Danio rerio: one gene and its partners. The protein of the gene in region 2 interacts with the protein of the main gene of each other region in a pairwise test. Links are inferred from orthologs where the notes say so. Each region holds a gene or a part of one and is shown on either strand. Other genes may lie near its edges.

What was found. The genes of interacting proteins can lie anywhere in the genome.
Region 1: the proteins of siah1 (region 2) and ctsk interact in a two-hybrid assay, tested with the Homo sapiens proteins (2 studies listed by BioGRID). The link is inferred for Danio rerio from reciprocal best matches to the Homo sapiens genes SIAH1 and CTSK.
Region 3: the proteins of siah1 (region 2) and numb interact in a two-hybrid assay, tested with the Homo sapiens proteins (2 studies listed by BioGRID and IntAct). The link is inferred for Danio rerio from reciprocal best matches to the Homo sapiens genes SIAH1 and NUMB.

The regions. Positions count from the first base shown.
Region 1 is NC_133191.1:32,638,519-32,643,327, forward strand, and holds the end of ctsk (cathepsin K), read left to right. Parts: intron 1-2,418; coding exon 2,419-2,584; intron 2,585-2,687; coding exon 2,688-2,796; intron 2,797-2,953; coding exon 2,954-3,053; 3' UTR 3,054-3,558; downstream 3,559-4,809. UniProt on the Homo sapiens protein: Thiol protease involved in osteoclastic bone resorption and may participate partially in the disorder of bone remodeling. Displays potent endoprotease activity against fibrinogen at acid pH. May play an important role in extracellular matrix degradation.
Region 2 is NC_133193.1:19,853,076-19,857,721, forward strand, and holds part of siah1 (E3 ubiquitin-protein ligase Siah1), read left to right. Parts: intron 1-3,841; coding exon 3,842-4,646. UniProt on the Homo sapiens protein: E3 ubiquitin-protein ligase that mediates ubiquitination and subsequent proteasomal degradation of target proteins.
Region 3 is NC_133192.1:57,926,046-57,930,691, reverse strand, and holds part of numb (protein numb homolog), read left to right. Parts: intron 1-904; coding exon 905-1,210; intron 1,211-2,529; coding exon 2,530-2,673; intron 2,674-2,917; coding exon 2,918-3,070; intron 3,071-4,646. UniProt on the Homo sapiens protein: Regulates clathrin-mediated receptor endocytosis. Plays a role in the process of neurogenesis.

The DNA of each region.
Region 1 (4,809 bases), on a different chromosome or scaffold from region 2:
GCAGTACTAGGGTTAGATACTTTAGCTCAGGGGTGGCCAACCCTGTTTCTGGAGAGCCACCTTCCTGCAGATTTCAATTGCAACCCATATCAAACACACCTGCCTGTAATTATCACGTGGTGTTCAGGTCCTAATTAATTGGTTCAGGTGTGTTTGATATGGGTAGCAACTGAAATCTGCAGGAAGGTTGCTCTCCAGAAACAGGGTTGGCCACCCCTGCTTTAGCTAAATAACAAAGCAGATTTTCAAACCATTTTTGTGCTCAACTCTCCCTTATATGATAATTCTTGTCTTTATCGTATGTTACTGTTTCATAGAACATTTTGAGGGATGTAAACAAAAACAATGGTCCCAATGTATTTCCTGTTTTACATTTTTAAATTCTATATCTTCTGAGAATCAAAAATGAGCCACATATTGATAAATAACGTTATGATAGCTGTTTTAACATTAAGTAATGATTGAATTGCCTCTTGTTACAGTTATGAAATAGTGTGATAACAAGCAGGGTTGCCCAATGACATGACCACACTGAAATGGTCTATATTCTGTAATAAAGGCTTGTAAAGTTTACCTTATCTGTGAAGAGAAACCATCCCTACTGAAAAAAACAGCTTAAACCAGCCTAGGCTGGTTGACTGGTTTTAGCTGGTCGACCAGCCTGGTTCTAGAGGGGTTTTGGCCATTTCCAGGCTGGTTTCCAGCCTTTTCTAGCCTGGGGTCCGTTCTTCGTACCTCGCTTAAATGATCTAAGATGATTTGGCAGATCCTGGATCTTTTAATCTTGATAACTGATCTCTCGCTAATTTGGTTCTTCAAACGAGTTTGCGAATCAGATTAGAATGTCTGGATAAACTGATCTGAGATCGCTGAAGGACAGATCTATCGATCCTCGAAATCATGATCAGCAATGCAACGATTGGCTGACGGCACAGCAGCGTAATGACATCATCTGATTAATATTCAATTATCCATGTGAGCAAAATGACATCAAATTAGCAGTAAACGGCTTGTTAAATATGACACGCAGTAACTTCACATTTGTTGTGAGCTGCAATTTCCACTTTCATGTGTCAAGTGTATTCATCATGTATTTCAATGCAAATCAATGTATTTAGTTCCACATTTAGAAAATATTTTCTTTATTATAGTTGCCGTTTTTTAATCGGCGTAAAGAATAACTGGTTGTTTACAAAAGTATTTTCATATTGGTAAAGGCAGCTGCAACTTTTGTGAAGCATCAAAATCACCAGCATATTAACTTTCAAGTTTATGACTGCATAAATGTATTATTGCTTTAAAAAGTCACATATGTGCATTTTTATTATACACAATTTGTACTAAAGCGATCTAAAAAGTTCATATCAATAAGTTTTCTCTTTGCACCACCAGGTGGCAGTTGTACTTTCATTTCGAGGGTGCAGATTGCATACGTTTAATTAATATGTATAACTTAATTCATTTTATTAATGACTATAACTTTATATATATAGTTTAAAAAATATGTACCATTTTCCCAAGTGTATATAACTACTACTGTAAGAAAATACCAGAATTCGGAACATACTTTCTGTATTATCTTTGCTTGAACTGAGCCGATCTAATCCTGTTTATATGATTTGAACCTGCTCCCGATCAGGTTTGACCTAGCAGAACTGTTGCTATGACAACAACTCTCGGATCAGCTTCTAAGAACGAAACGATCCTGGATCGTGTCAAATCGTCAACATCCAAATCCAGCTAATTGAGTAATCCACGTACGAAGAACGGACCCCTGGTCTTAGCTGGTTAGGCTGGAAAATGACTAGCTAAAACTAACTTGACCAGCCTAGCCAGCTATGTCCAGCTTAAACCAGGCTGGTCAAGCTGGTTTTAGCTGGATTTGGTCATTTTCAGCCTGACCAGCAAAGACCAGGCTGGATATGGTTGGAAACCAGCCTGGAAATGGCCAAACCCCTCTAAAACCAGATTGGTCAACCAGCTAAAACCAGCCAACCAGCCTAGGCTGGTTTAAGCTGTTTTTATCAGCAGGGATGTACGTTAGGTGATTCAAATTAATCCATTCCATCAAACGTTTATCATTGTTTTACCTCCCATGTAAACAGTCATGGTCCCAAAATGTCTGAACTCTGAACTGACTCTGTATAATACAATAGCCACGGCCAAAACTCTCCCAATTGGTTGAGTTGGAAATTGATTGACAGTTTTTAAACTTCCCTTTCTCCCTCTTTTGATGAAGTCGGAGAGTCTGTTTTCAATTTTGGACCGATAAACTCTTTAGTAACATAATTACAAAAGTCACTGAACAATAAACTGCGTTAAGAGACTTTGTTTCGGACCAAAATGCTTATGCTGTACAAACTACTTTGGTCTTTTGTTGACGTTTATAAATGTTCGTCTCACTACTGCTCTCTGCAGGATCAGCAGTGTGCCTACAACACTTCAGGAGTAGCAGCCAGCTGTAGAGGCTATAAAGAGATTCCTCAGGGTAACGAGAGGGCACTGACCGCCGCCGTGGCCAATGTGGGACCCGTGTCAGTTGGCATAGATGCCATGCAGTCCACCTTCCTGTACTACAAAAGCGGTACTTAACATCTCTTCTACAACTATATTGCCTGTAGTTCCATGTTGTTTTGCTGATATGTGTATAATAAAAGTCACTAATAAAACCCAAAACTCACTGACAGGTGTATACTATGACCCAAACTGCAACAAGGAAGATGTCAACCACGCAGTGCTGGCTGTGGGCTACGGAGCCACACCGAGAGGCAAGAAGTACTGGATTGTGAAGAACAGGTGAGAAAAATATTTGTTTTTCATGAAAATATCACTGTTTAACATCATAAAATATTATTTAAAAATTACAGGTAATTTATACAGTAATTTACATTATACAGTCAAATAATTGTGTGTAAATATAATATAAAAAGACACCTTTTTTCTGTTTTTGAAGCTGGGGTGAAGAGTGGGGAAAGAAGGGCTATGTCCTGATGGCTCGTAACCGAAACAATGCTTGCGGTATTGCAAACCTGGCCAGTTTTCCCGTCATGTGAGAGCTGGAAGAACTAGATCAAACTTGTCTGCTGCTGACCAGTACCAAAAAAGGGACTCAATCACTATCACTGCAACATGAAACCATGCTTGGGGAAATGCTTTCAAAAAGAGGCATTTGATTTTAATAACACAAGGTTGTGGTCCTATTTTGTCTTAGATGTCTTGTTCTTTATCCAGCAGTAAGAATTGTTTTGTGCAATATTTGAGATTTAGAAGGGAAGTTTTGATATTGAGTATGCAGTCAGTTTATATTTGATTCTTTCTTTCCTTTTTTTATTCCCCTGGAGGGATCGGATCTCTGAAACACGTGTTTTATGATGTTTTGATTAAAGAAATTACTTTTTTGACCATTAATTCTGAGTGCATCACATTTGAGTACATCAAATATGTCTGATGTAAGTTTTTAAATTACACTAACAGACTGATAGCGAGACAGTTTCACATCTCTGTACAGAAACATTGTTGAAATAAAATCTAAACAATAAAACTTGAGTGCCAAACCACCTTTATTTTGAACTTTGAGATTTTGTCCTACAAGCTAAAGAAGGTTACGAAGTCTTCGGTTTTGTAGAAGTGGAAGAGAAACCACCAGATGGATTTGGGGAAGTTGAAACCAAAGGACGTCAAGATGAATTTTAAGACAGCACGCAGCTGAAAGAGCTAATCTGTGCATGTAATCTGATGTTCAAACAAAGAAATGATGACAGTTACATGTTAGTTAAAAAAGAATCTTATGATCATAACTGAACCACTTCCTCATGAACAGATGAGTGACCCAGCGTTCCCCTTTATAAATTTTGACGTTGATTCACTTAAAACTGATTAAGACATAAAATCTTTAAACAAGTGATTCAAAAATACAATTGATGTAGATTCTGATGTATATAGTGTATTAGAATAATACTGTTGTGTACAAATAACAAGTACACTTTAAATGTAAACATGAAAAAAGCAATATGATAACTGAGATACCTAAAAATGACATTATTACATAAATGAACATATCAGATACACAGTGCTCAGCATAAATGAGTACAGCCCATTTAGAAAATAATTATTTTGTTTCCATTTCTCAGTGAATAAAGGTAATATATATATTGGTGCATTTGAACAACACAGATTCATTAAATAGATATTAAATACATAAAGTATATATATAATAACGTAATATTTTAGTTACCATATTCGGAAAGATCATACATTTAAATTCATGCTAAATATTGCAAAAATAAATTGCAAACTACAAAATTTCAACAAAATTGTACACATTTGTTTGTTGTTTCTCTTGATTTTAGCTATTTTAAAAAAAATTATTTTATATTTTCTCTAACATAAATTTGAGCTACTAATTTTTGGACCGTGACCGTACGTTATTTTGCTAAAGCTCCAGATTTGGCTTTAGGACTTACTAATCTAATGTATATCCACAAATATAATATTGTAAAGAAAATATTATAGAAAATATAAATTTAAAAGAGATTTGTGAGGGGTTTTATATATATATATATATATATATATATATATATATATATATATATATATATATATATATATATATATATATTGTACAGTGTGTACATCAAAACTTTTATAATTTTTTTACCGTTGTTAGGCATTTAAAATTCCTGTTATTTACATTTTGGAATTCAGTCATATTTAGTTTATTGTACAATTTTACATGAAAAATGATTTCAGAATGGTCTCATTTATTTTATCACAAATCACACATTTTATTTTTGTGCTTTAAGGCTAATG
Region 2 (4,646 bases):
ATCTGTGGCTCTGTGCTTCTGGTTTATGACCCCCTTTATGATGGTCTTTCTGTGGACATCAACTCTTTTTGCATGAAACTCACACTACTAGCGATTTGAATATTATTGTTAATTTGGTGAACACATTCTGTCCTGTACTGGAAAAAAAACGTGAAATTGCAAAGAAAAATCTGCAAAAAGATCAACCTCGTTATAGCGAGGAACCACTGTATACATATATTGAAAACCTGTGAAGGACAATTTATTTTTTACTCTCAGAAATTGACTCACTTTATTTAGAATTTCAGGGCAAGTGTTTGATTAAAAATCCAGAAATATAAAATTTATATTAATAAAATATTAAACGCTTTTAAATAAACAACTTTTTACAGGTCCAACATAGAACTAAATAAATATCACTAAATTAAATACTGCGTAAACATTGTACTTTCCAGATGCCAACATCTCACAATGCTGTTATTCATGATTGTGTCTGCATCCTCGTAATGGCGTGTAGTATTGTGCGCATATAAATTATGAAAAAGTTTTTTCAGCTTTGTTTTCAACAATGTTCTTTGAAACCACAAAATAAACATTAGATCATAATATTGAACTATAGACTTGTATAGTTTAAATGCGAGTTGTATGAATGGAATTTTGATTTACTATATTTGCCATTTTTACCTTTAAATTCCTCCATGTGTAATACAGTCTCAGTGAAAGTAGTAGACCATTCTGGCAATTTTCCCCCACTGTTTTACGATTACTACACGTTTGAAAGCACTATGCACTTCACATACTAAATAGTAGAGAAGTAGGCTAGTTTGAACTTTGTTATACTAGTTCTAGTGTGTTTCTTTGTGGTTTTAGTTAAATGCTTCAGTACAGAGCTCCTCCAGACATGTGATCGCCTGTAAAATGTTTCTTTACAGTTATAAAACAAATAGAGGTTTTGTCTGGGTGTTTAACCACACATCTTACCATATCTTACTTTATTCTAGCAACATAAATACCATGGCTTTGGTCTTTATGGACTTACAAAAATATATTTGTTTAATACAGTGTCACTTTGGATAAATGCATTTGTAAAATTATAATGCAACACATGCCTCTGCATCTCCCTAAAATCTTGATCCAGGAACATGTGTAAATCTTGTTCAACATCCATTTTTATGGTTAGCAGTGCTACACTTGGAAGCAAAACTATGTTTGTTTGTTAACCTTTCAAATCCACCAAGCCTAGACTACAAGCCTAGAAAGGCATTGAGGACGTGGTGCTAGCTGTTGTGCTCAGGCTAATTTTGGCCTCAGTTGTTATACTCGGAGAGCTGCTCCGTGAGGAGGCTAAAAATACTTGGGGCTTTATCAGAGCAGATGTGTTTACTAGCAGATTCTAAGCCACCTACATACACACACAGCTCACTGTCTGTCCGCACCCCCACTCTGCTTTCTGGCACGGTCCTGGTTCTCCCACACGAGACGATTTACTGCGCTCTGATCCTGCCACGCTGCTCCTTTCTTATAGTCTCTTTATTCCTCGCTTAATTGATGTCAGTGTTAAATCAGCAATCAGTCTTATTCATTTGCTCCCCTGTGCTGATTTACAGATACTTTTTTGCCTCCTATTGATTGCTGTGTAGATGTAGGTTATATATAGCGGTAGGGTGTTACAGCTGGGTCACACGCTCCTATCTTGCATCCATTGCAAATCCTATACTTCTCTCCACAGGTCGTCCCATACACATTTACACTTTGCTCTGCAGATTGTTGCCATAGGAACACTCCTGTAGCAGACATGCGCCTTGGCCCTCTGAGTCCACTCTCCATGTCTGGCTTTAAAGAAAAAAAGCCAATGCATGACTATCTGTGCATTTTACTCATGCCAAAAATAGCTTCCCCAGAGCCCCACGTCTGACTTATCGGTGCCACTAGATGGCTATATCTGAGCCACTGAGGGAGAAGAGACATTGCCAGGCACACTGCGCTGCTCAGACTCTTTCATAGCTCTATTTGAAGTTCATGCTGCTTGAATCAGCAGAATCTGGATGTACCTTTTATCCTGAGGCCACGTTTTAAAATGTCTATTGATTCATGTTGAGGAAACAGAGGTGCTCATGTGCATTAGATGCCATCTGATCAGTGTTTCTGTGTGATCAGTGTTTCCTGAATTCCTTCTTCCTATGGACATTCACAAACTAGCACAATCTTTAGTGATTGGAACTACACCTCTAGGCCTGTTGGTAGCATAGTTCCTTGCTGTTATTTTCTGAGTTATCACCCTATTAATTCCACACACGTCAGCCAATTTGAGTAATTTTGAAAGCTTAAAGTTTTCTTGTTCACATTTGATGTAATTTCCAGACAGAAGAATTTTTTAGTTTTAGTTTAACGATCCTCTGACTGGCAATTGTGGTCTCTGCTTAGTGCACTAATGGCCCATTTCCACTGAGTGGTACAGTAAGTGCCAGTACACTTTTATGGCCATTTCTACTGTCAAAAGCAAAAAATTGGTACCTAGCACAACAAAAGGGTACCAAAAATCACAGCTAGACATGCAGCTAAAGCTATTGGTTTACAGAGAAATGTCACTAGCGCGTGCACAAGCCAGGAGAACAAAAACAAAGGAACCGCCATTTTCAAAAAACATAGCTGAGACATTACACCATGATAAATATATACAAATAATAACAATAACAATCTGAACCTGAAACGAACCTTTTCTTCATCTTAATGAACAGCCACAAACCCAAGAAGAAGAGCAGAATCTACATGTGTCCTGTTAGTTACGAGGTCGCCTAAAGCACGAGTGGTTTCACTTTCTCCAGAGAGCTCGCATGCGCGTCTGTATTTGAAATAAACCTCTTGAGCTAATGATGATAATAACGTGCACGTCATTATTGAAGTGCTTCTGACATCTGATCCTTTCAGAAACGGACAAACACCAGAGTGAAACTTGAAAAAACAGGAGCAAGTGATTCTTTCAGCAACGTAAAACATGAACAATCTGCCATGTTTAACCATCATCATCACCTTTTGGATTATTATGAACCCGGAATGACTTTTTTACAAGAGGTTAACATTACATGTGCTGGTGAAAAATAAGATGAGAGGTTTGGACTGACTGTATTTGTTTTAATCGTTTATGAACACAAATAAGGCCTAAATGTAAGTTTTGGGGAATTGTTTATTTGTAATTGGTAACATTTTAGAGACTGTAAGGGTCTGTATGTGTTCATAACTGTTTTATTTTATACAACCGCAGATGATACAGTAGGCTATTTCACATTATCATTGATCTGCAGCTTTAATCAAATTCTGTTCATAGAAAGGCAGTAATACACATATGTTTAAATAGCATTTGTTTAGTAAGGAGTGCTTCTCCTACGATATGTGAATTCAATCAAGAATGACGTCGACTGCAGGTTTCTGTCGAACGCCACGTCCACCAGAAGAGTACCATTGGTACTCTTTGGCAGTAGAGACACGAGCCTTAAAGGTGACCCATACTGAACCTTACCGTACTGTACCACTCAGTGGAAATGGGCATGAAAACATTTATGCTACTCTTAATGCAGCAGTGGCATCTGTTCAGATAAAGCAATTGCCCCTTGATCATCATGGAAGTTTTGCATTTACCTAACCTGGTTCAGACAATCTCCAACAGAGTTTGTAAAACATTTGTGACTACATAGTTTATTTCCCAAATGATGCCTCGTACTGTGGTGGTTTAGCTACGTGTTATACTTCATTGTTTGGGAAACACACCCCTGCTCATTGTTGTTCCTTGTAAGTGCAAGCAAATCCATTACCTTTGGCCATCTGTGTTAGCCAGTCTAACTCTCTTCTCTGTCTCCTCTTGTAGAAATGAGTCGCCAGACTGCCACAGCGCTGCCCACAGGAACCTCTAAGTGTCCCCCTTCTCAGCGCGTTCCAACTTTGTCGGGCACCACAGCATCCAACAGTGACCTCGCCAGCCTGTTTGAGTGCCCGGTCTGTTTCGACTATGTGTTGCCGCCCATCCTGCAGTGCCAGAGCGGCCATTTGGTGTGTAGCAACTGCCGGCCTAAACTCACCTGCTGCCCCACCTGCAGAGGCCCGCTTGGGTCGATCCGTAATTTGGCAATGGAGAAAGTGGCCAACTCAGTGCTTTTCCCCTGCAAGTACGCCTCATCGGGCTGCGAAGTCACTCTACCGCACACAGACAAAGCTGAACACGAGGAGCTTTGTGAATTCCGGCCATACTCTTGCCCCTGTCCTGGCGCCTCCTGCAAGTGGCAGGGATCTCTCGACGCCGTTATGCCCCACTTGCTGCACCAGCACAAGTCCATAACCACACTACAAGGTGAGGATATAGTCTTCCTGGCCACAGACATCAACTTGCCTGGAGCAGTGGACTGGGTCATGATGCAATCCTGCTTCGGCTTCCATTTTATGCTTGTGCTGGAGAAGCAGGAGAAATACGACGGCCACCAACAGTTCTTTGCCATCGTCCAACTGATCGGCACACGGAAACAAGCGGAAAACTTCGCCTACCGACTGGAGTTAAACGGCCACAGGCGGCGACTCACTTGGGAGGCGACGCCACGTTCTATCCATGAGGGCATCGCCACCGCCATCATGAACAGTGACTGCTTGGTGTTTGACACCTCTATTGCTCAGCTGTTTGC
Region 3 (4,646 bases), on a different chromosome or scaffold from region 2:
AAGGGATGGACATGGTCAGCAGAAATACTCAGGTAGGCTGTGGCGTTGATGCTCAATTGGTACTAATGGACCCAAAGAAAATCTCCCCCACACCATTACACCACCACCACCAGCCTGAACCGCTGATACAAGGCAGGATGATCCATGCTTTCATGTTGCTGAGGCCAAATTGTGAGCCGAGCATCCGAATGTGTCAGCAGAAATGGAGACTCATCAGAGCAGCAACGTTTCTCCAATCTTCTATTGTCCAGTTTTGGTGAGTCTGTGTGAATTGTAGCCTCAGTTTCCTGTTCTTAGCTGACAGGAGCAGCACCCGGTGTGCTCTTCTGCTGCTGTAGCCCATCCGCCTCAAGGTTGGACGTGTTGTGTGTTCAGAGATGCTCTTCTGCAGAGCTCGGTTGTAACGAGTGCTTATTTGAGTTACTGTTGCCTTTCTATCAGCTGGAACCAGTCTGGCCATTCTCCTCTGACCTCTGGCCTCATCAACAAGTCATTTGCGCCCACAGAACTGCCGCTCACTGGATATTTCCTCTTTGTTGGACCATTCTCTGTAAACCCTAGAGATGGTTGTGCGTGAAAATCCCAGTAGATCAGCAGTTTCTGAAATCAACAACCATGCCACGTTCAAAGTCACTTAAATCCTCTTTCTTCCCCATTCTGATGTTCGCTTTGAACTGCAGCAGATTATCTTGACCATCTTGACTACATGCCTAAATGCATTGAGTTGCTGCCATGTGATTGGCTGATTGGAAATTTGCGTTAACGAGCAGTTGAAGAGCTGTACCTAATAAAGTGGCCGGCGAGTGTATATCATAGATACATTATCAAAAAAAAAATTTGATACATACAGAAATAGGAAAATGACTAATATGATTATAAAAACAATAACCTCTCTCTCTCTCAGACTCAGATTTAGTGATAAGCAGCTCTTCCGGCGGCTCCTGTAACCCAGTGGTGGTGACTCTGGCGGGCCCCAATGGCTCCTCATCTCCTCCTCTGCCCATGGCTCCGCTGGGCCTGCAGGACGGAAATCCTCATGTCATCCCGCGCCGGCACGCTCCTGTGGAGGCTCTCGCTCGCCAAGGCTCCTTCAGGGGCTTCCCGGCGCTCAGCCAAAAGACATCGCCCTTTAAGCGGCAGATGTCGCTGCGCATGAACGAGCTGCCCTCCACCATGCAGCGCAAGTCTGACTTCCCCATCAAAAACACTGGTAATGCCCCATCAGCAGCTACATTTTCATCATATTTAAAAAAAACAACTTGTTCACACCAAACACGGAATTAGGTTACACTTTTAAATTGCATACAAGTCAATTCAAACGGGAAAACAGAAACCGATGCGGATTAATGTTCCATGGGGCAAACATCATCTACTGTTAAAAACTAGCCTAGAGCGCCATCTGCTGTTAAACTAGCCTAGAGCACCATCTGCTGGTAAACTATCCTAAAGCGTCGTCTGCTGTTAAACTAGCCTAGAGCACTGTCTGCTGTTAATAACTCGCCTAAAGCGCCATCTACTATTAAAATCTAGCCTAGAGCACTGTCTACTATTAAAATCTAGCCTAGAGCACTGTCTACTATTAAAATCTAGCCTAGAGCACTGTCTGCTGTTAAACTAGCCTAGAGCGCCATCTACTGTTAAAAACTAGCCTGGAGCGCCGTCTGCTGTTAAACTAGCCTAGAGCGCCATCTACTATTAAAAACTAGCCTAGAGCGCCATCTACTCTTAAAACTAGCCTAGAGCGCCATCTACTCTTAAAACTAGCCTAGAGCGCCATCTACAATTAAAAACTAGCCTAGAGCGCCATCTGCTGTTAAACTAGCTTAGAGCGCCATCTGCTGTTAAACTAGCTTAGAGCGCCATCTGCTGTTAAACTAGCTTAGAGCACCATCTGCTGTTAAACTAGCTTAGAGCGCCATCTGCTGTTAAACTAGCTTAGAGCGCCATCTGCTGTTAAACTAGCCTAGAGCGCCGTCTGCTGTTAAACTAGCCTAGAGCGCCGTCTGCTGTTAAACTAGCCTAGAGCGCCATCTACTCTTAAAACTAGCCTAGAGTGTTGTCTGCTGTAAAACTAGCCTAGAGCGCCATCTGCTGTTAAACTAGCCTAGAGCGCCATCTACTCTTAAAACTAGCCTAGAGCGCCATCTACTCTTAAAACTAGCCTAGAGCGCCGTCTGCTGTTAAACTAGCCTAGAGCGCCGTCTGCTGTTAAACTAGCCTAGAGCGCTGTCTGCTGTTAAACTAGCCTAGAGCGTTGTCTGCTGTTAAACTAGCCTAGAGTGTTGTCTGCTGTTAAACTAGCCTAGAGCGCTATCTACTATTAAAACAAGCCTAAAGCGCCATCTACTCTTAAAACTAGCCTAGAGCACCAACTACTATTAAAATAACAGCCTGGAAAAGGGACATCCTTCTGTCTGTGTGACGATGCTGTAGTTTTCATTAGATGATATAAATGTGTGTGTGTGTGTGTGTGTGTGTGTGTGTGTGTGTGTGTGTGTGTGTGTGTGTGTTTGTGTGTGTGTGTGTCAGTGCCGGAGGTGGAGGGTGAGGTGGACAGCATCAGCTCTCTGTGCACTCAGATCACGTCCACCTTCAGCGGGCCTCCTGAAGACCCCTTCTCCTCTGCACCCATGCCCAAACCAGCCTCCTCACCACAATCACCTGCCGCTCCAGGTCAGTGTGTGTGTGTATATTACAGCTTACATCAATGCTTACTCCTTCACTAGTCTGCTGTTGGCTGTTTATCAATTTTAAACCAGCGTGTGGTTCATTACTACATCCCTGTAGAGTAGTGGCAGAGCTAATCAGCTAGTCTTTGCAACCCCTAGTGTGTGTGTGTGTGTGTGTGTGTGAACGCCTGCGTGTGTGTATGTGTCCGGCTTTGTCTCTAATCTTCTGGTCCTGTCTGCTGCTGTAGTTAATGGCGCAGTTCCTGCCTTCCCTCCGCCTAGCGTCACTGTAACCACTGCAGCTAACTCACCTGTGCTGCCGCCACCACCGTTGCCCGTCCGCGAGACTAACCCCTGGGCCAAAGCCCCAAACACAGCCCCGGCACACGCAGCACACACAGGTAAGAGCACAGGCTTCCTGCTGGCCATGCAGAACAAGCGCTCACTAATGCATCTTGCTTTCAGTGTTAGGGGCCGACCACACCAATTGCGTTTTTTGCGTTGAATGATTTACTAACGGCCGCGAGCGTTTTGCATGCTGATGATGAACCTGCGCACCTCGTCCTTTAACCGCCTGCTGCTCCTCAAGTTTTTGCTGTTGCGCTCTGTGTGCTCGCAGGTCAACTCTGAGCGGGAAAAGCGCGTTACGTCAGTCGCGTCTGTTTCATTGTCCAATCAAATGAAAGCAGAGGCGGGATTTCCATCGAGGTGCCTGCAGTGTTTGTGTTGTCATGATGACTATGGAGACATTTGAAGATGGAGGAGAGACGTGTGGTTGTTATTTCGAGTTAGCCAGTGCTGAATGACTCACAGATCTTGAATGTCACAATATTAAAAATTACAATTATAACAATATCAACAGCAACACTCGTGCGCAAAACTCAGCTGATTCAGTGGTTGCCTAGCGACAAAAATATTGACAAATAGACATTGGATGCATCTGAAACCGCCCACTACTCAGTAGGTACTGCATTTGTTTTTAAACGTACTACTCAGCCGTTAGAAAAGTACGTTCTATACAGTATGAATGTGAAAAGTATGAACGGAATTCGGACGTAATACATCCGCCATTTTGTCATGGTCACGTGACCTACCTGCGTCAGTTGCGTCACTTCACTCCCATTCATGAATTATCTTGCGGGGCATCATGGGATAGCGCAGCATGCATGGGATGCACACTCCAGAATCTCGCCGGAAGTAGTAGGTCATCTGAGTACTTCTCGTATACTGAGTTTTAAATTCTACGAATTCGTACATACTACTCTGCTCGCATACTGATCTTAGCGTACTATATAGTATGGAAGTATACGGTTTTGGACGCAACCATTAACTGTTTCTCAATACCAAGTACGCAAAGTTCGGACTTGTGTCCTTGGAAGTTTCGACTTGCCAAGTTTCGACTTGGAAGAATTAACTCCAGAGGACGCGAGGACACAAGTCAGGTACTACTTCAAATGGAGCGCAGCGTACTTTATAACACCACTTACCTCACCATGGATTCATCGGCTTTACTGTACATTAACAATAAAATGATTTAATTACATAAAGCAGAGCCTTATAATTAATATTACATTGATATTATAAATCTACATGTTTGATTTAAGAAAATGTAAACATAAATGACTATGAATGTGAAGTGAAATCTGTTATTATACACAGACTCGTGTCTTTGATTATTAGATTTAATAAACTATAATGGACATTATACAAATATATAGTACAAGATGTTCGCAATAAGAGATAAAGATAACATTAGTTCTTTGGTAAAGTGTACAACACAGTTACATAATTAAAGTCAATTATAAAACCTAACAAAATAACACTGCCAAAATAACACACCTGAGAACAAATAATACATTTAAAAGACCAAAAACTGTCCATTAAATATACACGAGAGGAACTAAATATCATGTTTTAACTACAATGGAGAGATGAGATCCAGCGGTACATCCGAGATGGATTGGCCGAAGCAAAGCT